Linked DNA regions of Diceros bicornis minor. The protein of the gene in region 2 interacts with the protein of the main gene of each other region in a biochemical or structural test. Links are inferred from orthologs where the notes say so. Each region holds a gene or a part of one and is shown on either strand. Other genes may lie near its edges.

Region 1 (11,514 bases), on a different chromosome or scaffold from region 2:
CAGATCAGATAGGTTAATCCCAAGTGTCTGAAAGAACCCAGCTCTGGAGAGACATGGTGTCTCCATCCATGTGTTCCCTACAGACATCAAGCTCTATGGCTGGACAAATGAAGGCAGAGTTAACTTCCTGTCTAAGACATCTCCTCTTGGATGAGGAGGAGGCTATTTTTCTAAATAATTCTGGCAAGTCACTGCTTGCCGGCCCTGGCCCTGCTCAGCCCAGCTGTTCCCGAGTTAGGGTTGTGGTTAGGATCCAGGCTCTGTGCTCTAGAGAAAAGGTAACTTCATTAATCCCCAGGATTAATGAAGCTCCAGCCATCCTTTCCCTCCTCTAAAGGAGGTGAGGGAGGGAGCCAGCAGGAAGCAAAGGAGCAGACTTCCTATTAGCCTCGTCGTGCTGCCTTAATGACAAAGCCATGTGGGCTGGGATAGGCCATAGCAGGCCAGCCAAGGGGACAGAGAAAGCACTGCTCATCACTTATTATCCACAGGGCTTGTTGCCTATAGAGGAAGGTGTGTAGGCGTGATACCAAACTGATCAGATGAAACAAACAAACAAGAAAAAGCAAGGTGAACATCTGGAAGTTTGGCTCAGACATCAGTTTGCTATGTGACCTTGAGTAAGTTATTCTCTCTTCCTGAGTCTCAATTTCTCTATCTGTAAAATATAACAGGTGGCCTGGTGCTGTGTGTATGTAACGTGTTGGTCTGTCATGACCGGTAGTTATGCCTGGCTGTGCACATCTATGTGTGGCTACAAATGGCAGTTGGGTTTGCACACCTGACAGTATGTCTGTGTAAGTTACCTTAAGGACTTCTGAGTGAAGCTGTGTCTGTGTGTGTCTACCTGACTCGGCATCTGTCTGTTTCGGCCTGTACAAGTAAGGATCAGAGTTTGCGTTTGCATCAAGATGTAGACCTGGAACTTGCCTGCGAGTCAAGGTATTGCCCAGGGAGAAGTGAGCGAGCGCATGACCTTCTGTGTCTGCTCAGGTATTGAGGCAATTATTTTTAACTGTGCCAGTGAGTGCCTGTTGGTGACATGTTTTTACCCTGCCTCCTCATGGGTTTGTGTCTGTCCCTGTTTATCTTCTGCACACTTAGCTACCTATCTAATCACCTCAAAAACCAAATATTCTCCTGTTTACCTGACATCCTCAGCTGTTTCCTTTCCTCCGCCATCCTTTCCTATTTATAGCTTATTTTCAGCAAGGAAATCTGCTCTTGTGACTAGCAAACCCCAGTCACGTGATTAGTTGACAAGCCTCTACAGATGGATAAAGATTTTAGCAGGAGTGTTATGCAACCCAAGAACCCCCTAGCCCCTCCTCTCTTGTTTCTTTTTCAACTAGAGGGACCGGGGTGTTAAAAATGTCAGCCAGAGATTGCTTTTAATGAAAGCAGCATCTGGATTTAGGTTCGCGGACTTCAGAGCTGGAAGGGCACCTGGAGACCATCTAGCTTAGATTCCTCATTTAACAGATCGGGAAACTGAGGCCCAGAGGAGGGAAGGGTCTTTCCCAATGTCACTTACTGTGAGTTAGGACCCACCTCTGCTCGTGCCTTGGCCAATGCTCTTTCCGCACTGGAGGGTACAATACTCTTGGGAAATACTCAAGGACGTCCCCAAATTAACTGAATCTAGATGATATTTAGTTTTTTTAGATATGCCTATCAGCACTTTTAGGAAAGGGAAGTTATATGCAAACCCCAAGATGATGGATTTGCCAGAGAAAAAAGCTGGGAATGATCTCACCAACTCTTTGGATGCCATAAATCTATCAATTCTGAAAACACATCACATTAGGTGCGTGGGCCTCAGTTTACCAAGTGTTCCCCTGTACATTATCCCATTTTGTCCACACAATATCCCTTTGAGGTGGCTGCTGTTATTGCTCTTTAACGAAGGAAGACACTGGGACTCAGATAGGAGAAGCAATTTGTTCAAAGTCAATGGCACTTTTGGGGCAGAGGTGGAACTAAAACTCAGGTCTTCAAACACCCTGTCCACGAAGTATGAAGCTTATCAAAGCCCCACTGCTGCCCTGGGATCCTGGGAGGTCAGAAGGGCAGGGCCTAGAGTTTGCTCTCCTGGTATTTGGGGACGGAGTGGAGTGGGGGATAGTCAGACTGAGCCTGAAGTTCTGAGTGTTCCCAGTGTCCCCTCCCAGTCAGCAGGCAGAGACCCTGAAAAAAAGGTTGCCATGGCAACTCGCATTCCTCCTAGAGTGAGTCATGGCAAAGAAGAGGCTTTCTGTGGGTGGGACTTGGAGAAAGTTTCAAAAGTTGATTCCTTCTCCAGGCACCCCCCTTCCACCCCTCCCTTCCTCCCCCTGCTCCAGGCTCTGTCGATGTGGCAGCTGATGGCTGGGAGTTAACTCGCTCTTTCCCCAACCACTCCCATTTCAAACTTTTTCATCCTCCTGCAAATATATGTTTGCCTCCAGTCCCACCCACTCCATCTCTCACTATGCTTTCTGGCTATTTTGGAGGTCATGCATCCATTTGAGAATATCTTAAGACAGAAGGCTGTGAACACCCTCTTGTATTTTCTCCCTCTCTCTCTCACTCACACACACACACACACACACACACACACACACACACACACACGCACGCACTACTGTACATACAATTTTAAGGGGCTTGCAGATGCCTTGAAGCCCATTCAAAGGCCAGTCGGTGGATTCTGGTTTAAGAGACTTTCCTTTGAAAGTTTCAGAGGACATCAGGCACCTTGAAGACCATCAAGTCCAACCCTCTCACTTTATAGGCAGGGAAACTAAGTCCAGAGGAGACACTTACCTAAGCATACCTTAAGTCTGCCACCCTACTGCAGATTTGCTTCTCGCTCTACCATCAGCACTTGGGTATATAGAAATGTAACCCTAGAGAATTGCTGGTGAAAATATTTTCTCTATGTTTTCTGCATAGAATGCTGTCCTTTCTGGAGGAAAATGTGTGCCCCTCTTTTCCATTTTGGGCAGACTGGGCTTCCTAGAGGACATGCCTCATCCCAGTGCCCCCTTTTCCCTTGGTGTCCTTCAGAACTCAGGAAGTCCACTCATCAACCAACCAATGGAGCCAACAAGGGTAAAGACAGGAAGGAGTTTATCTGAAGAAGACCTAATGCCCCAAAAGGCTACACACCGGTTCTTTGTAGGGTTGGATCTTCTCAAAACAAGGAGATGTGAGAAGGTTGCCCTGGAACCCTCTGTCTTGCCTTCCCCCTTCCCCTTCTCAGCTCATCCCCCACCACACCCGACCTCCCTAGGGCCCAGTACTTTGGTTGGATGATACCAGATGCCTGGGGTCTTCAGATCTAGACACACTAGGGGCTACTGCTGGTGAGTTCCTGTGTTTACACCCCAGGGAGCCCAAGATGGAAACAATGCCTAACCCAAGACTGACTATCTGATGGTGCTATTTCAGGCCAGTGGCACCAGAGTCTGTGTGTGTGTGTGTGTGTGTGTGTGTGTGTGTGTGTGTGTGTAGGGGCATGGTGGATGGGGGAGAATTGGAGGGAAAAAAGAGCCTTCCTGGAGGTGGTGATTAGGGATGAAGCCTCCCCCTTTGTCTTCCAGAGATCAATTTATCATTCCTGCAAAGTCTCTCTTGGAAAACAGAGCCCCTGACCAAGAACCAAGTCTAGGAAGTTTCTTCTCTTGGAATGGAGAGCAGGGCAAACTCTGGCTGCCAGCTGGTCCCTGTTGCAGCTGTGACAGGATCAGATTCCCAGGAAAGGAAGAAGCTGCCACATTTGCAAAGGGAGCAAAGAGGACAGGCAGGCAGCCTCAGAAACCAGAGAAACAGACACGGAGAGAGACAGAGAGACAGAAAATTCTCCCTCAAAGACATAGTGATATTATTTTCTGCAAACCTAAAAGGGAGACCAAGTTATACTGTGATTCCACCTGAAAAGCAACAGGCAGTGAGTCCACGGCTCCTGCCTTTAACGGGAGTGGGGATGGAGCCCGAAGAACATGCACACCCCCATCCCTGATCCCGGTACAGCTTCCCCTCCCGTGTACACAAACCAGAGGAGTGACCTAGGGGATAGGGCTTGATGCGACCAGGGAAGGGGAAGGCAGGGCCGGGGTTGTGCTTACCTCTGGCAAGCAGGCAGCCGGCGGAGTGCGCTCTGGGCTGTCTGAAGGTCTGCAGGAATGTGGAAGGGTTTAGAGCCAGGCAACAGGAAACCACTCAGAGCTCTGGGCTGGGTCTGCCTCCCCCTCCACCCCGCGCTCCCTCCTCCTCCTCTGTCTCCTCCTTCCTCCCACCTCCTCCTTCTCCCCGCAGCCAAAGCTGTGTGTGTCTTCCATTTCTTTCTTCATCTCCTTGCTGTGGGCTGTCCTGAGCAGACTCTCAACCCTGCCTGTCTCGTGGGTTCTGGGGCACTCACAGAGTGCCAGGGCTGGACAGGCGCGCAGGAATCACCTAGAACAAGGAACGTCCTTCTTGTGTAGAGGGGAACTGAGGCCTAGAGGGAGCAAGGGATTATCCAAGGGCCCCCAGTGGCAGAGCCAGGCCCAAATGTCTTGACTTTATGACCAGCGATCTTTACAAGAGCCCTCCCCAACATTAGGCAATGCTGAGAAGGGCAAAACCACTCAAGGGGTTGTACTGTGACAAAGGCAAGGCCAGGACTCACCTCTGTACAGACAAGAGAAGCTGCCACTGGTGGCATCATCATTGGTGATTTGGGATATGGTCTAAAAATAAGCACTCTAACTCTAATTGCACCACTAATAGACAATGAGAGATTAGCTTTCTAGCAGGAGGATCCGTGTCATCAGTACAGAACGGATAAGGAGACTGATGATATTGATAATCATCAGAGAAGTAACCATAGCCAAGGTTTACTGAGGACTTAATCTCCACCGCAAGCCCTTGACTTAGATATTGTTATTATGCCCATTTTACTAAGAAGGAAACAGAGTCTCCAAGAGGCTAAGTCACTTGCCTGGGATTACCTGGCTAAAAGTGGTATAGGCAGGCTGATTCTATAGTCAACTTGGTTCATAGTTACACTACACGAACTTCTCAGTGCAGTAGGTCTTGGTTGAATATTTATTAAATGCCTAGCAAGGGAGGTACAAGAATTAATATCTGGCCCTCAAGGAACTTTGGACAAGCTGACAGGACATGCCTTATGGATACATGCACTCACATGAGTGGTACAGACTCTGAGGTTTATCCCGGGGCTTCAGAGTGGCAGGATCTCTGGGTTGGAGCAAACAGAGAAGGCTTCCTGGAAGAGGTGGCTCTTGAAGCATGGATTGGGTTTGAATACCATGAAGAGGGAGAAGGCAGAAAATATTCTGATAAACCTCCACATGATGTGGCCTCTGCCTCTCTTGCCATCCTCTCCTCCTGCCACTCTCCTCCTGGCTCACTCTACTCCAGCCACACCAGCTTCCTTTCAGTTCCTCAACAACCCCAAAGCTACTCCCAACCCAGGATCTTTGCACTTGTGTTACCTTGGCCAGGGACACTCTTCCACCTCATTTTCCTGTGACTGGAGTTTTCTCATCTTTCCGGTCTCTGTTACAATGTCATCTCCTATGAGAGACCCTCTGACCACCCAACTTAAACCAGTCTCCTTGGCTCTCTCTTTATTTCTGTCCTGGCACTTGTCACAGTCAGAAACTATTTGTCTCCCTCACTAGACAGAAGCTTCATGGGAGCAGGGGCTTCATGTGTCTTGCTCACAGCAGTGTTCCAAGTGTCTAGAACAGTGGCCAACACAAAGTTGGCTCTCAATCAAGGAAGGAGTTGTCTTTTAATAGGGTTCCGGCCTGGAATAGTGCTGAACACTGGTCTTCAAGAGATCCTCAAACCTACAAAAATTAAAGCTAAAAGTTTGGACCTGTGTGCATTTTTCTGCAGAGACGGTTCATGGCTTCCTTCAGGTTCTCGAAAGGGCTAGTCAGGAACCCAGGAAAGGAGCTCTGCTCCAGATGATCCCCAAGGCCTCTCCCTGGTCCCAAAGCCAAGAGCTGATGCTCTGCTTTGGCTGTGCAACACAGGGTGCTGGCAGACTCCTCATATATCTGTTTTGCCATCTAGAGATATATATATTTTTTATAGGATTGGTTGCTATAGCTCCCAGGCATCGTGAAGACTAAAATTAATTTAAACTTTGTGTTTTTCTTCATAAACTAAGATAACAATTCTGATGAGAATGAGCCAATGGAGCCATTCCCAGTGTTTGGCTGGAGTTCCCATGCGGCCTTTGGTTCAGGAATTAGAAAGCAGATTGGGGCTAGGCTAAAGCTTTGGGACAGAGATCCCATCTGGAGGCCACTCCCAGGCCCCTGTGGGGAGACTCTGAGTCAGGATCCCTCACAGGAAAACTTGGTAGGTTTTGTGTCTAGGGGTAAGAACACACTGGGGGAACAGCAGCCTCTGAAGCAAGGATGACTGTGACTTAGGAAGGGAGACCACTAGGACTAAGGTTGATTCTCCTGCGACCACCAAGGGCTTTACAGGAAGGGAGAGAAGCACAACCGGGCCAGGTGTAGTAGACCTGGGGGCCAATCCCCACTCTGCCACTGAGTCAGTGAGTGACTTTGGGCTCATCCCTGTCCCCATCTGAGCTACACCTTTTCCATTTGTAGATAGATTAGACAGCATAATAGTAGTAATGAGTGCCAGCATTTATTAAACACCTACTATGTGCGAAGCACTGAGCTAAGTCCTTTGCATATATTCTCTGATCTAACCTTTATGAAATAGGGACTATTATTATCCCCATTTTACAGATGTGCAAAATGAAGTTCAGATCAATAATTTGCCCAAGTTCGTGCATCAAGTACACGGCAAATCAGAGATTGAAATCCAGGTGTAACAGACACCAGAGCCCAGTTCTTGATCATAATTCAGGAGGGGGTACATACCACCCCCTCCTGAATTCCCCTCCAGCTCTGACATCTGTGGACTCTAGACTCCACAGCCATTTGGTCCTCAGCTCTTTAGTTGAGTGTGTTGCTGACTCAACATCAGATTGGATCAGCTTTTCAGCTTACAAAATGAGAAGTCAGTACCTTGGAGTCCCTGCCACCTGCCCACCACCCTGTCCAGCCACTCTTCAGCTGTGCACCTCGAGGCACCACCACCTCAACCTTGATCCTGCCCTTCCTGACCCACCACCCAGCCAGAGCCTGAGAACTCAGGGGTGCTCTACTGCCCACTGCCTGGAGAATGCCCACAGGTGCACAGCATCCAGGCTCCCCACGCCTCCCAGAACATCAGCTACCTCCTTTGCTCATTCATTGACTCCATCACACTGGGGATTTACCAATAAGTAGGACAAAGACTGTCTTCATGCATTCTACGTTCTAATAGCTGGAGGCAGGTGATAAATTAGTTTCAGGTTGTGATCAATTCTACGAATGAAATAAACAGGATGAAATGAGTAGGTAATGGGGGGGGCAATTTAGATAGGATAGTCAGGGTAGGCTTCTTAGAGGAGGAAAATTTTGAGAAAAAAAGTTGAATGATGAGTCAGTGAGAAGGGCTGGGGGAGGAGTATTCCAGGCAAAGGGGAGAATAAGTGCCAAGACCCTAGGATGGGAGAGCTTGGCTTCTACAAGTAACTGGAGGTGGGGCTAGAATTGTCAGTTAGAGGAAAGCTCCCTTCTCTGCCTCTTCCTCCTCCTCCTTTTCTCCTTCTTCCTCCTCTTCTTCCAAAGTACTTTCCACAGTACTTTCTCATCTACCATCTCAGTGAACCACAGAGCAGTCCTGTGAGAAAGTCAGGGCAGGGCTTAAAACCTATACTGTAGATATGGGGAAACTGAAGCCCCAATCACCCAGTGGACCTGGGACTCAAAACCAGGTCTCCTGACCCCTGGATCAGAGGCAGATTCTCAACCCCATCGAGAACCTGCTTGTCCTTCTGCTCAGTAACTCCAGAGTCTCTGTCACCTGAACCACCTGGTGGACCATCTCTGGAAGCTGGACTGGGGCCAGGTGGCAACCCATGTACAGGCAGGAACACCTGGGCAGGGAGTGAGAGGTCTGAACTCTGGAAACAGATCAGGGAGGCTCTGTTGATTTGGCTTCAGGCAAGGAGGAACGCAACCAAGCAGGAAGTTAAATAAATAAGAGCAGTGCCAAGAAACATCCCCTAAAGCTTACATCGGAAACAGTGTCAGGATCTCCATGTTCAGCTCTCCAGGCCATAAATCCTGAGTGGGCCTCGCAGGTAAAAAACCTGATGAATTTTGCACATGGGTACTTGAGGCACCAGGTCTGGTTGGAACAATTATGACTAAACTGGGAAGAGAGATAATAATATCCAATATTGCTGAGCAGACACTGGGCAAAACACTTTATGCTCACTATCTCAGTTATCTTCACTTAATGTACACTCTTGGGTAGTATGTTAGTTTCCCGTTATTGCTGTAATAAATTACCACAAACGTGGTGACTTAAAACACACATTTATTACTTTACAGTTCCAGAGATCAGAAGTCCTAAAATCAAGGTGTTGGCAGGGCCGCATTCCTTCTGAGGCTTGAGGGAAGAATCTGTTTCCTTGCCTTTTTCAGTTTCTAGAGGCTGCCTGCATTCCTTGGCTTATGGCCCATCCTCCATCTTCTAAGCACATCATTCCAACCTCTGCTTCTGATATTGCATCTCCTTTTTCTTTTTTTGTTTTCTTTTCTATATTTTTTTGTGAGGAAAATCAGCCCTGAGCTAACATCCATGCCAATCTTCTTCTTTTTGCTGAGGAAGACTGGCCCTGGGCTAACATCAGTGCCAATCTTCTTTATATGGGACGCTGCCACAGCATGGCCTGACAAGCAATGCATTGGTGCATGTCCAGGATCTAAACCCGGACTGCCAGCAGCAGAGTGCGCGCACTAAACCGCTATGCCACGGGGCCGGCCCCCCACATCTCCTTTTTCTGACTTTGACCCTCTTGCTTTCCTCTTCCAAAGATTCTTGTGATTACATTGGGCCCACCCAGATAATCTAGGATAATCTTCCCATCTCAAAATCCTTAACTTAATCTGCAAAGTCCCCTTTGCCATGCAAGGTAGGATATTTACAGTTGGAGATTAGGACCTGGACATCTTTGGTGGCCATTATTTTGTCTACCGTAGGTAGGTACAATTACCAATCCCATCTTAAAGATGAGGAAACAAAGGTTCAGAGAGCTGAATGACTTGCTCAGTGTCCCACAGAGGTGAAGCCAGGAATCCACACAAGCAGCTCAACTCCAGACCCCACACTGTCCATCGCTTCCCTGTACATACCTCTGCATGTACCATGCTCTTAGTGAGGCTGCCTCTCCTCCCCATCTTCCCCAAAGCCATGCGTCTTTCAACAGGCTGAATCTGTCCTATTCTTTCAAAGCTTAGAACTGTTAGGGTCCTTAGGCCCTATCCAATCCTACATCTTCCTTGTATGGCTGAGGAAACTGAGGATCTCAGAGCCCAAGGTCACAGTGTAGACAGCTAAGCCTAGAGCCCTGGTCTCCTAACTCCAGGCCCAGGCTGAAGCCAGCTTTAGCTGCCCCAAGTCTCTAGAGGCAGGAACCAGACCAGCTGACCCCTTTGGGCTGAAGATTATGTATCAAAACTCTGAAATGCACCCTTTGTGTGTCTGGCTCAAAGTCAAGGCTGCCAAGCTAAAAAGGCCCTGGCACACTGGAGACTGACTCAGGCTGTCTGCCTTGTTACTGTTTCTTTCCCCAGGCAGGCCCTCCCATTGGCTGAAGGGCACAAAGACCTCGTTGTCCTCTGGCCCCTGGTCCCCTGGGCTGAGTGGCTGCTGAGAGGGCAAGGCCAAACAGAGAAGAGGATGAGATTTCACTTCGGCACCTCCCCACGCACAACACTCCCACTCAGCAGCTTCAGGTTTCCCCCTCAGCTCTTTTCCAGCTCACAAAGGACTTTTATACCCATAATCTTAGTGAGTAGCATATTTAGTCTATTAGGTAGAAAAGTCAGGATTTGCTAAGCACATTTCGGGCTTGAGCAGTGTCCCTCGGGGACTTGCCCAAGGTCACCCAGCTGGCCCACGATGGAGCTGAAACAAAAACGCCAGACTCCTAAAACTCAGTCCAAGACTCTTTCCAGTACACCAGCTGCCTGCGCCCGGGGTTCCAGGGAGAGTTTGCAGAGGCATCTCCTCACACGGCCCCCTCTTCACTGAGGTGATGAATGGCCAACAATGTGTTGCTGCATTCTCTCATGTTGACACAAACCCCCCAAGAAGAAGCGTTAATTTGAGTTCTGAGGTGGGTTCCGTCCTTAGTGGGACCTGTGCCCTATCCTCTGTCCTTGAGCTGCTCCCCTCTCCTCTCCACCTCCGTTTCCTTATCTGTAAAATGAGCCTGATCAGAATACTTGACCCTCCTGGGTACAAAGTCAGTGTAAGATTCAAGTGAGCACGGGTTTTAGAGAGTTAGTAAATACAAGAGCCAAGTTGAAAAGCCCAGTTTTGGAGTCAGATCCCTGGGCTTGGGTGCTATAGCAAGTTACTTAAGGCTGAAAAACTTGGGGCATGTTATTTAACCTCCAGCCTTTGTTTCCTCAAGTGAAAAGAGTAACCCCCACTTTAGGAGGGTCTCGTGAGGATTAAATGAGATCGTATATGTAATACACTTGGCTCACTGTTGCATGTTCTAAGCTATCAATCAATGTTAGCTATCTTATGATTACATCATTAAATCATTCAACATTTCCCCAAGTGTGTTCCACAAAATATTAGTCTTCAGAAAACAAGAAGGACCCTGGATTCAAGCGAGTTTGGCAAATGTGACATTTGTCACCTTCCTCAGGAATATTCCTGAGGCACATTAGAACATTAAAGGCCCTGAAAAGTTTTGCAGAAAAGAACCTGTTTAACTCTGTTTAAACTTTACAGAGCCCTCTTTTTCATGAAATTCTGAATGCATCCCACAGAACTTGTGTTCCATGAAACACTTTTTGGGAAATTTTTTTTTTTTTGTGTGAGGAAGATCAGCCCTGAGCTAACGTCTGATGCCAATCCTCCTCTTTTTTGCTGAAGAAGACTGGCCCTGGGCTAACATCCGTGCCCATCTTCCTCTACTTTATATGGGACGCCGCCACAGGATGGCCTGACAAGCGGTACATCCGTGCTCACCTGGCATCCGAACCTGCGAACCCCGGGCCGCTGAAGCGGAGCGCGCCCACTTAACCGCTGCACCACCGGGCTGGCCCCGGGAAATGTTTATTTGATCCAATGCCTTTGTCTTAAGAAGAAATTAAAGTCCAGGAAGGTGAAGTGACTTGTCCTGGGTCGCCTGGCCGGTAAATGGCAGAGGGACTTGACTCAAGCCAACAAATTGTCTGGCCTACTCCTCTTTCTATTAAAGCCCACTGAGAAAACGTCTTCTGACGCTGATGTGGACAAGGCACTCTCTGACTGTTAAAGAATTGTGTTATAGGGGGCCGACTCCGTGGCATAGCGGTTAAGTGCACGCGCTCTGCTGCTGGCGGCCTGGGTTCGGATCCCTGGCGGGCACCGGTCCACCAC
Region 2 (10,869 bases):
CCTAAGGAAGTCACTCACCCCAAGGGGTGGGACTGGGGACTACTTTAAGGTGGCTGGGACCAGGGGAGGAACAGTCACCCCTGTTGGGGAGATGGAGAAACATCCCACGCAGGGTGAAGATCGTTGCTCAAGGGCAGTCCCATGGGTCAGGGAGAACTTGCCCTCCTTTCTCTGTGTGTCACCCCCAAGGGTGGTAGGGGCACTGGGGTGGAGATGACTGAGACCTAGCCCATGGAGGCAGTGGGGTCAGATGGCATCTTCTTGTGGGGGCTACTTACATCATCTCCGTTCTTGCCAGGGGGGCCAGGGGGACCGCGGGGACCCATAGGACCCTAGAGGAGATAAGAGGAGAGGTTAGAATCACCAGGATAAGGAAAAAAGAAGGAGAGGGCTGGGAGTGGAAGGAGGAGGTAGGGAAGACTCCAGATGGGGGTGTTGCTCAATAGGAGAATCCATGTATTTGTAGAGGGAGTGTGTATTTGTATAGAGTACACGTTGACGGGCACTTACTGAGGCTCCGGGCTCTCCAGGCTCACCAGGGGGGCCTTGGAAACCTTGGGGACCCTGGAGGACAAGGAGAGAGGTGTGGGGTTATAAGGGCATGTCCCTGCCAACCTTTCCCCATCTCACCAAGAGATCTCTGAGCACCTTCCCTGCCCTCATCCCAATCCTCCCCTCAAAAGACCAAAGCCCAGGGTGGTGTGTGAAGACATCCTGGATACTCACAGGGGCGCCAGGGGGACCAGGGAGACCACGAGGACCAGAAGGACCCTACAGAAGGAAAAGAAGGGGAAGCTGTAGTGATACCTCTGTAGGCAAGTGCAAGGTGGGTGAAGTCAGGCTATCTCCCATTGGTTCCTGTTGGGACCACCCAGTTGTTTTGCATCCTCTCTGGACTCTGAGGTCCCAAAAGTTGTCTTGATCTCCCAAGTTATCTTAAGCCATTACTGGCCCATCTTGTCTGGATTCCCAACTGCTCCTCTTCTGTCTCTCTACACCCCCTGGTGGCTCACCATGGGGCCAGGCACGGAAATTCCTCCAGTTGATTTCTCATCATAGCCATAAGACAATTGGGGAGCAAAGTTCTAGAAAAAACAAGAGAGAGTGCATGAGACAGCAGCGAGTTGAAAGGCAGAAGACATCACGGATAACAGGCCCCACTGGCATTGTATGCCTCATCATGTGATGCACTGAGAAGAACAACAACATCACTTGGGAAATATTCCTGCCAAAGACGCACCGCCCAAATCTAATTATGACACATCTGACAAACCCAAACTGAGTGACAGTCTACAAAACAACTGGCCTCTTCAAAAAATCTCAGGGTTGTGACAGACAAAGAAAGTCTGAGGAATGTTCCAGATTAAAGGAGACTAAAGAGACATGACAATTAAATGCAATTCATGACCCCAGATTGGATCCTGGATCAGGAAAAAAAATGCTATAGAGGACATCTTTGGGACATTGGTAAAATTTGAATATGGATTGTATATTAGACAATAGTATTGTTCCAATGTTAAATTTCCTAAATGTAATCGTGTGCTATGATCATGTAAGAGAATGTTCTTGTTCTCAGGAAATACTGAAGTTTTTAGGAGCAAAGGGACATAATAGCAACAACTTACTCTCAAACGGTTCAGAAAAAAAATTATGATAATTATATGTATGCATAGACAGAGACTGATAAAGCAAATGTGACAAACTGTGAAGGGTATATGAGAGTTCTTTGCATTGCTCTTGCAACTTTTCTGTAAGTTTGAAATTATTTCAAAATATAAAGAATGCCAGCCGCCAAAAACAACAACAACAACAACAACAACACAGAGAGGGGAGGGGAGCACACCAGGCTTTCCACAAGCATCTCGCTCTGCACTTACTCCTCCGAGGCCAGGGGGTCCGGGAGGTCCGGGAGGCCCGGGGGGTCCGGGAAGTCCAGGCTGTCCGGGGATGCCATCTCGGCCAGGGGGGCCTGCGGGTCCCTGAAGGGGGAGAGGGCGCCTGGGTGAGCTCAGGTCAGGAGCCACACCAACCTCCAGCCCCCAACAGCCCAGAGAGGGCGAAGCTTACCCTTGGGCCTCGGGGGCCAGTGTCTCCTTTGGGTCCCTATGGGGTTGGGGGAAAAGAAACAGAAGCTGGGTTAGAGAAGGGAGGACCGTGAGGAGTCACGGGCAGGGTGGCAAAAGTCGAGGGTAGAGGATTACCTCTACTCCTGTGGTTTGTTCGTCCGTAGGTGACACTGGGGGGAGAAGAGACGCGGGTTAGAGGCAGGGTGGGCTCCGGTGCCCCGACGGCCCCGCCCTCCGCCCGCCCCAGGCCCCTAGCGAGCGTACCCTGGCCTTCAGGGCAGACGGGGCAGCACTCGTCCGGGGGGACAGAGGCTCCGGGACAGTTCTTGGTGTCTTCGCAGATCACCTCATCGCACAATACGTTGCCATTGTCGCAGACACAGACCCGGCAGGGCTCGGGTTTCCATACGGCTCCGTCGTGGTACCTGAGGCCGTTCTGTATGCAGGTGACTGCTGGGACTGGGGCAAGAGGGGAAGAGCGGGGCTGTCAGCGACGCCCGAGCCTCCCACCTTGGGGCTCCAGGGACCCCAACCCTATCTGCCCTTCCTCTCTGTCTTAGAGACACATTTAGATTTTCCATTTCTCGCCTCCTCCTTTTTTTTTTTTTTTTCTTTTTCCCTAAATCCTTAAAAGTTCGTCTGCTCCTCATCAGGGCCCGTGACAGTGTCGAGGCCCCTGGCCAGCGCGGCTATAACTCTTTCCAGTTCTCAGGAATTTAAACAAAGCTTTAGGCCGGGGTTGCTTCCAACTCCAACCTCAGCCCATTGGCGCTGAAGCCAAGTGAAATAAAAAGCCACTGGGTGGGGGAGTGGGGGGTGGCGGAGTGGGGAGGAGAAGGGGGGGCCCTTTCAAGAGGGCAGGACTGTGGGGCGTGGTTTGGGTGGAGACAGGAGGAGAGGGTGGGAGGAGAGATGGCAGGTCCAGCCCCCATTCGGCCCCATTCCCTGAGCAGGTGGGATGGCGTGGGCGGAGCTAGGAGGATGGGGAGGGGCTGATTGGCGTGGCGTCCCGCCCAGAGACTTGAAATGTACCCCAAAAGTAGGATACGCCCTAATCTCCAGCTCCCAGACATCTCAAAAGTCCTCTCTCAGGAACGACCCCCGTTTTCCAAAGCCAACCAGTGCCTCTGGGTCCCTCTTTAGCCAAAGAACCAAAAGTCCGCAAATAGCAATGAAGTTAGTTAACCACGCCCACCGCGCGAGCCTCTCTCCAGATGGCCACTAGGTGGCGGGCAACACTAAGCAATTTCCCGGGCCTGGCCGCTTCCGTTAGAGACAGGGGCTACCCGGTCTCCAGCTTTATTTTCTAGGTCTAGAGGTGGGGTCCACACCCGGCAATAACCTCCGTTTTCTCTCTCCAGCTCCTACGGCGGGAAGCCCTGGACAGGGAGGCACGGTGCTCAGTGTTGATCAGCAGGGGGCGCAAGGACCCGCCCTGCCAAGTCGCGCCAAAGTTTCTCAACCTCCAACCCGCCCACACTCCGCGCCCCCTCCCCCCTCAGCCTAGCACCCCCGCGGCCCCAGGAACACTGTCTAGCCCGCAGAGAGGGCAAACAATCTTTCCCTGTGAATCATCCCACAGCCTTCCCGACCGCTTTTACATCTTGGGCTCCAAATTCCCAGCTCGGCGACCCCATCCCATCTTCGACGTACTTGCCCCCCACCCGCGCCCAGATCCCCATTTTCCCTGTTGTACGCCGCAGTGCGCGCTCGAGACTCCCTCCTGTGCCAACTCAGGCCGAGCTCCATCCTCCTCTCCCACTTCTGGGGGACGTTCCTCTACACTCCCCACCCAGGGTGCTCGCCCTTCTCTCCCAGGGCGCGAGGAAGAGCCCTAACCATCTCCCTTCCATCCCTGAATCTCCGGAGCATCCCCAGTCTCAGTTTAGGTCGCAGACCCCCGGGACCGAACGCAGGGCAAGACACCAAGTAGCCCTGGACTCTCAAAAGTTTGGGACTTACTGTCTTCTTCTTGGCCCTCCTCTTGGCCGTGCGTCAGGAGGGCGGTGGCCGCTAAGAGGAGCAGGAGCCGGAGGTCCACAAAGCTGAACATGTCTAGACCCTAGACATGTAGACTCTTTGCGGCTGGGGTGGGGGTTAGCGTCCGCTCATGCGTGGCCTCACACTCCGCGTGCCTCCTGCTCCGACCCCGAGGAGAAACTCCCGTCTGCTCCGATGACCGGCCCGGGCCCCTTTTATACCATCTTGATGGAGAGCGGGGAGGAACCCTGCCCCTGGGAGAGGGGGAGCCGGCTGCCCGTCCCCCAGCCAATCAGAGCTGCCTGGCCCGGCCCCCAATTTGGGAGTTGGAACCGAGAAGGGGAGGAGGAGGGAAGGGAAGGGAAGGGAGTCCACCACACATCTCCCCCCTTCGCAGCTCTGCCTCCCCAGCCCCCCAGTCCAGCCTGGGCCAGAGATGCTGCCGCTGGGGTGCATCTAGGTCCTCAACATAGTGTGGCCTAAAGAGTGGGTAGGGGCGCCTCTTCAGCTTTCTTCCTGGGACCCCCAATCTGGAGAAACTGGAATTGGGGAGTGGGTGGGAGCCTTCCAAAGGTGGAAGGATTGGGGTGATTGGGAGAGGGTCCTCCTGGCCATGCCTCATGCACGCTCCTGACATCCTTGGCAAGAGCTAAGGGATGGATATGAAGAGGCCGGCCGAGAACCCCTCCAAAACAGGAGACCAGGGAATTAAAAAGATGTACCTGTTGGGGTGTCTTCTGGCGTGGCTGGGTTATGGAGCTTAGGAATATTTGGGGACCAAGTTAGAGATTCCTTTATAGACCTTAAGAATCAGATACTTGTGGAGGGGGTGCTGGCAAGAGGGGTTTTATTTTGAGGATGTCGATTCTTCTGCCATGCCTGAGGCTCCAAGACGGACTCAGGTCCTCTCCCTCAAGCTTCAGGTATGACTGAGAGAGACGAGATGGGGAGGCTGAAGTACCGGGTGAGAATTTGGCTACATGGTCTCTCCAGAAGGAAGCTTTGGTGTTGGTGGGGCATTGCTGGGACTCTTCCACCCCAGGGGAAGTGACTTTGCACGGAGGGCTATGATCACTGATGACTTAGAAAGGGGTCTCGTGTTAGGGTGTGCTTGGTGGCCAGGGCCTTTTTAGAGACTCTTCTACCCAGAATAGTCAAGCTCCGGTGGAGGGCACTTGACCAGAGAGAGGGTTCTCCCTCTGGGTGCTGCATAAGGCCCCCTCTCTGGTTGTACCTGGACTCAGGGTTGGGGGTATACGGGAGAATTTGGGTGTCTGGGGGAGATTTGCCTTTGGGGGTTTGGGATGGACTTGCATGGGAGGGTGAGTGACCTTGTTTTAGAGAATGTTTCCCACTGCCCCACCTCTTTCCTGAAAACCCAGGGCATTTCTCTCTGCCCCCGGAACCAGGAGAGAATCATATGTACCCTGAAAGGGGGTGGGCACCCCAAGAAGTCTGTATTTGGGAGAGATGCCTCTAGAAGCCAGTGTCCTCCCTCCCTCGTGTCCCAATCTCCCAACAGTGCTCTACCTCAACCTCAATCCACTCAGACCCCTGGTCCTGTCAAAATCTGTGGGCCCAAGAGAAGGCAATGGGGGTCCCTTTGCAATCCCCGTCAACTCGAATCCCTCCCGCACAGCTTCCCCACCCCCATCACTCCAGAGCTGCAAACGTGGAAGCGGGGAGTCCCGCCTCCCCCAAACCATCCAAGATTCCATTGCCTCCCCCCGCCCCTCTCCACGCCCTCCCCCGGCTGGTTTTGTGCAACGAAGGCAAAGGAAAAAAAAAGACCAAGGGAACAGAAGGGGAGGGAGCCACGTTGGCCGTGGGCAGCCAGGATGAGCGTGCGGGCGGGGCAGCGGAGGGAGACTGCAGGGGCTATAATTAAAGGGAAAATATAGAGTTTCCAGAGAGGCAAGCGGGAGACAGCAATGGAGGGACAGGCCTTCATCAATTATCCCCACCATGTGGCAGCAACTTGTGGCCCAGGATCTGCCCCCGCCTAGTGCCAGCGACTGCAGGGCAGGACTGGAGGCTGAGATGCTGAGATGGCAGTTCTTGCACCCTCCAGTGTGGATGGGAGACAAGGGGCACCATCTCCCTAATAGAGGAAAAGGGTCCTGTCCCCCATAGTAGTCAACCATGTGGAGTGGGTGTCTGGGGTGGGGTGTCACAGGCTTGGGGCAAAGGTTGGTGTGACCTGCCCACCTCCCTTCTGGCTGAGTTTGCACAGCCAGAAGGACTCCTCCCTGCAGCCCCCTCCCCACATGCACCCTGTCCAGACTGTCCTACTCTCACCGTCAAGAAGAGATTAAGCCTCAGAGGTGCGGATTGGAAGCGGCTACATCATGGGCTTCTGAAGGATGTTCAGGGACCCCTGGGATGGGGGTGGGTGGGCTTTGTGTGTGTGGCATGTGACAGCCACTGCCCCTATGTCCAGTTTTGGACCTCCATCCCCGGAGCTGCGAGCAGAGGGTTTCCAAGCATCCTTTACACGTGGCATAGAGCTGAGGCCCAGGGCCGCCTCTGCTACTTTTTGACTTGAAACGCTTGGCGGGCGCCCAGCCCAAAGATGTGTCTTTAATTTCTGCAGCATGACAGTGAGAGGAAGAATGTGCTTGGGGTCTCCTCCCAGCCTGCCTGGGCCTCTTTGGCCAGGACTGAGGGCTTGAGACTTGGGGGGAGGGAGCTGGGGCTGGAGAGGGGAGGAGACGCCACCTCATCTTTAGGAAACTCTGAAGCTCTGGCTTCTTGTGGAATGCAAGACTTCGTCCGGCATTTGGAGTGGGGGGAGCAAAAGCCAAAATCTCCTCCCCCCACCCCCAAGAAATGGTAAAGTCATCAGCACTTAGGGAAAAAAATTCCTCAAGAAGAAAAACAGAAAGAGGAAAGTGCTGAGCTCTAAGTTCTCGCCCTCTCCAGATTTCCGAGAGTGCCCTTCCTCCACGAGGGAGGGGGCGGGCTGTGCTCCCCAGCTCCCCTCTCCCTCTGGAGCCCCTCACGCCCCCAGTCTGGACTCCGTGATGTGGGACAAGGGAGAAGAGGCAGCCCTGGTGTTGGTGCACCTGGTGGGCAGGTGGGTCAGCCCTTTCCAGCTGCTCTGGTCCTCTGCTGAGGTTCCGTTGCCCTCCGTCCCTGATCTGACCTTCCAGAATGGTCTTCTGCCTCACCCTGGCCCCAGACTGGTGATGGAGAGAGGGTCTCTAGAGAGGGGTTGAGGAGAGAGAAGGGGAGGGAGTGGAAGAATGAGGCTGCAGTGAAGACCTTGGTCTCCACATGTCCCCATCATGGAGCCCTGCACAGGTCCTATTGAGGAATTCTGAGGGCAGAGTCCGGGGACAGACTCCAGGTGTGTGGGGTCCTCTCGTCTTCCCTTTCTTCAGCAGTGCACCATCTGGGCCCTTTGGTCCTTAGCTAAGTTCCTTAGTTTCCAGGCAGAGCTCTGCTCTTTCTATGCCTCAGCCTCAACCCAATCCTTCTTTAGCCTTCTGAGATGTCCCTCCAACTCATCATCCTTTCCAGGTTTAGAGGGGAGATGATGAATTCAGTTTGTCCATGTTGAGTGTTAGGTGCCCATGAGACATCCAGTGACAAATGTAGAGGAAACTCTAAGGTGTCTGGGTCTGGAGTTTAGAGAAGAGACAAAAATGGGACCCCTAGGGTGATGGTGTGCATGGAGTTGTATCCTGAGAAAGTACGGAGCAGGGAGAGATGAAGGGCTAGGACTGAGCCTTGAGGACCCTCAGGGTTTAGGGGTAGGGAAAGGGAGGAGGAGCCTGCGCAGGAGAAAGGACAAGAGCGGGAGAAGTAGGAGAGTAAAGAGGAGAGGGATGGTGGATGTCATGTATGCAGAGGGAAGATTGCTCTAGAAGGAGGGAGAGTTATATGCTGCAAAGAGAATTAGTGTGATAAGGAGTAAACTGTTCTCTGGATTCAGCGACATGGCAGTGATTGGAGCCCTAAGTGTGAGCTGTTTCAGTGGAGTGAGGGTGAGGAGGCCTGTCTGGAGTGGGTGAGGAGTGAGCGGAAGGCCAGGAAACGGGGTCAGAGTGCAGACAGCTCGGAGGAGGGGTTGGGTGTGATGGAGAGGAGAGCGAGTAGAACCTCATCCTCCCTGCCTCCTTCTCTTTTTCCTTCTTTCTCTACGTTTCCCCCACCCCCACTCCTGTCTGTCCCCTGCCTCCCTCTGCTGCTTCTTTCTCCATCCTTCCCTCTCTGGAGCTCTCTTTCTGGGTCTCATTTGCCTTTTTGGCTCTTTCTGCCCTCAGATGTCCACATCCAGGCCGAGATGTCCACTTCATTCTCTTCTAGAGCAAGCCCTCAGTCCAGGCTCCTGAAGAGAAGTCTTGATTTCTAGTCCCGGCAGACCCTGCCCCATTCTCTGGGGCCCCCCAGTCCAAGAGGGGAACTTGGGGCAGAGGAACCAGGGGAGGAGCTGGGATGAGCTGGGAGAAGGGCTGGGCGGGGTCCTCAGGTGACACTAGGACTGTTCCACTTAACGCTGCTCCCCAGGCCCGCTCCAGCCAACCCACAGGTCCCAGCCAGGTCCCAACTGAGAATAATGTGCTGGATGGGGACATTGTTGGGCTTGGGGACCTATCCTTACTTCCGCTCTGTGCTGGTCACAAGTGTAGAGTCAGCGCCCATCTTTCCTGCTGGCCGTGAGCTCCCAGGCAGGGACCTGGCAGGTTCCTCATGGTGTTTCTAGCCCCTCAGTATGTCTGGAGGCAGAGCAGGTTTATCAAAGTTTGGGTGAGTGAACTAATTGATTTGTCATTTACCTCTTTCTGGTTTGGTTCAATTCTCTACTTGTGCTATCATATTCCCATTCCTCACTTCTTTCTTTTTTTCTACTCTTTTATCTCCCCCCACCCTTAACCTTTTTCCTCTTCATGTATTTTTCTTCTTTGTCTTAGTTCTTTTCTTTCCTTTCCTTTCTCTCTTCTGCCTCTGGCCCATTGTCCCAGCCCTCCACCCACACACTCCTCCCTCCCTCTTTTTCTCTCATATTCTCTTCCGGTATCTCTGGTGCCTCCATCCAGTCTCCTGGTCTCCTGATGCTGCGTGCAGGGCTCTGGGAGGAGAGAGCTGCAGCAGCCTCAGAGAGGCGGGGCAGAGGGGGCCAGGCTTGCATCACAACCAGATGTCTGGTTGAAGGGCTTAGGAGATAGATGCAAAGGTTCCTTTGAAGCTTGAATTAAAAAAAAAAAAAGAATGGGAGGGGCAGCCCCTGTGAGGCAGAGGCACCTGTGCAGACCCTGATCTCCTCCTTCACCCCCACCCCCATCCCCCACAGGTCAGCCTCGGCCACAGATGTCTGGTGTCTTCCACTTCTGCATCAGCCACCAGTTCTTCTTGGCAAACCTGGGATTCTGGAGTTTCTGGGGTGGGGAGTTGAACAGAGGGTGAGATGGGGGGATCCCAGTCTGTTCATTTGCACCAGCCCTGGATAGAACTCCCTTTTGGACAGAGTCTGGCTTTGACATAGAAAGGATCCAGAATTATTCATTCAACAACATTTATATGCGGGGCCTTGCTGGACGCTGGGACTTCAGTGCCTGTCCATATGGAGCTTACACCTGGTAGAGACAGACATTAATGCAATCACATAAATAAACGTGTAATTGCAACTGTAAACGTTACAAAGGAAAGGGACACAGTCTGAGCGGCAGGCATCCCAGAGATCCCACCCTAGACCCAGGGGCCCAGTACGCTTCCCTGAATAGATTGATGGATAAGTAGAGATAACTTAGGTAAGGGGTAGGTGGCAGGGTGGGGAGTTGAGGTGGGTGTGATGGTGCTGCATATGCAAAGGCCCTGGGGCAGGAGGAGGCATGGCAAGTTCTAGATGCTCAAGGAATCCAGAGAATGCCAGTGTGCTAGAGCACAGGGAGCTAAGGCCAGGCAAGCCAAAGAAGCCACATCACTGGTTTTAGTTCTTATCCTCAGACCTTTGGGCCCCAGTAGAGGGTCTAAAGCAGGGAGGGTCACAATCAGGTCTGGATTTGTAAGAGACACCGTGGTCACTTGGTGGAACAGGTACTGGAGGAGAGCTGTGGCGGACAGTGGTTGCTGCATGGGCCCAGGTGAGAGCTGATGAGAGCCTGGACCAGGTTGAAGGGAATGGCCACAAAGAAGAGGATGGATTCAAGAGCCCTTTGGGAGGCAGAATTTATAGGTGTTGGGGCCAGATTGGACATGGGGGTGTGGTGGCGAGGAGCAGGGAAGACTCCTGGTCTTCTGACCTGAGAGACTGGATGGTGTGGTACCCTGGAAGAATGGAGGCTGGGCGAGGACCCTGTCTGGGGAAGAAGATCCTGAGTTCGGCGCCTGTTGCAGACACTCTAGTCAATTCTATTCCATGGATGGTTTCTGCAGACATCCTGGGGCCAGCCCTGTGCTGGGGAGAGCTCTGGGGACAACAGCTTCTACCTTCAGAGAGTGCAGTCAGGAAAGGGAATAAAATAAACACAGAAATGTCTCTCACCCAAGGCAGCAGTGGCTGTGTGATTTTGAGTAAGTGGCTTCATCTTTCGGAACCTCATTTCCCCAATCTACGAAATGGGGTAGTAATAAGACCACCTTGCTGGCCGATGTCATGCTCAGTAAATGGAAGTCTCCAGAGAGATGCAAAGGGTGACGAGAATGCCAGCGGGAGAGAAGGCAGGTTTCATAGAGGAGGCTGCTTTTGAGCTGGGTCTGGGAGGGCGGGTGACGGGGTTTGAATGCAGGGTTGGAATGGGAGGGAAGGCACCACCAAACCTGGGAAGAGACAGAGAGAGAGAGGGGGCCTTGGGCAGAGGAAACATGGAAGATACAGCTG

What was found.
Region 1: the proteins of COL1A1 (region 2) and SPARC form a complex in vitro, tested with the Homo sapiens proteins (2 studies listed by BioGRID). The link is inferred for Diceros bicornis minor from reciprocal best matches to the Homo sapiens genes COL1A1 and SPARC.

The regions. Positions count from the first base shown.
Region 1 is NC_080740.1:68,553,464-68,564,977, forward strand, and holds the start of SPARC (SPARC), read right to left. Parts: upstream 4,169-11,514; 5' UTR 4,110-4,168; intron 1-4,109.
Region 2 is NC_080757.1:36,082,680-36,093,548, reverse strand, and holds the start of COL1A1 (collagen alpha-1(I) chain), read right to left. Parts: upstream 4,228-10,869; 5' UTR 4,120-4,227; coding exon 4,029-4,119; intron 2,526-4,028; coding exon 2,331-2,525; intron 2,237-2,330; coding exon 2,202-2,236; intron 2,104-2,201; coding exon 2,068-2,103; intron 1,980-2,067; coding exon 1,878-1,979; intron 1,086-1,877; coding exon 1,014-1,085; intron 772-1,013; coding exon 727-771; intron 565-726; coding exon 511-564; intron 333-510; coding exon 279-332; intron 1-278. UniProt on the Homo sapiens protein: Type I collagen is a member of group I collagen (fibrillar forming collagen).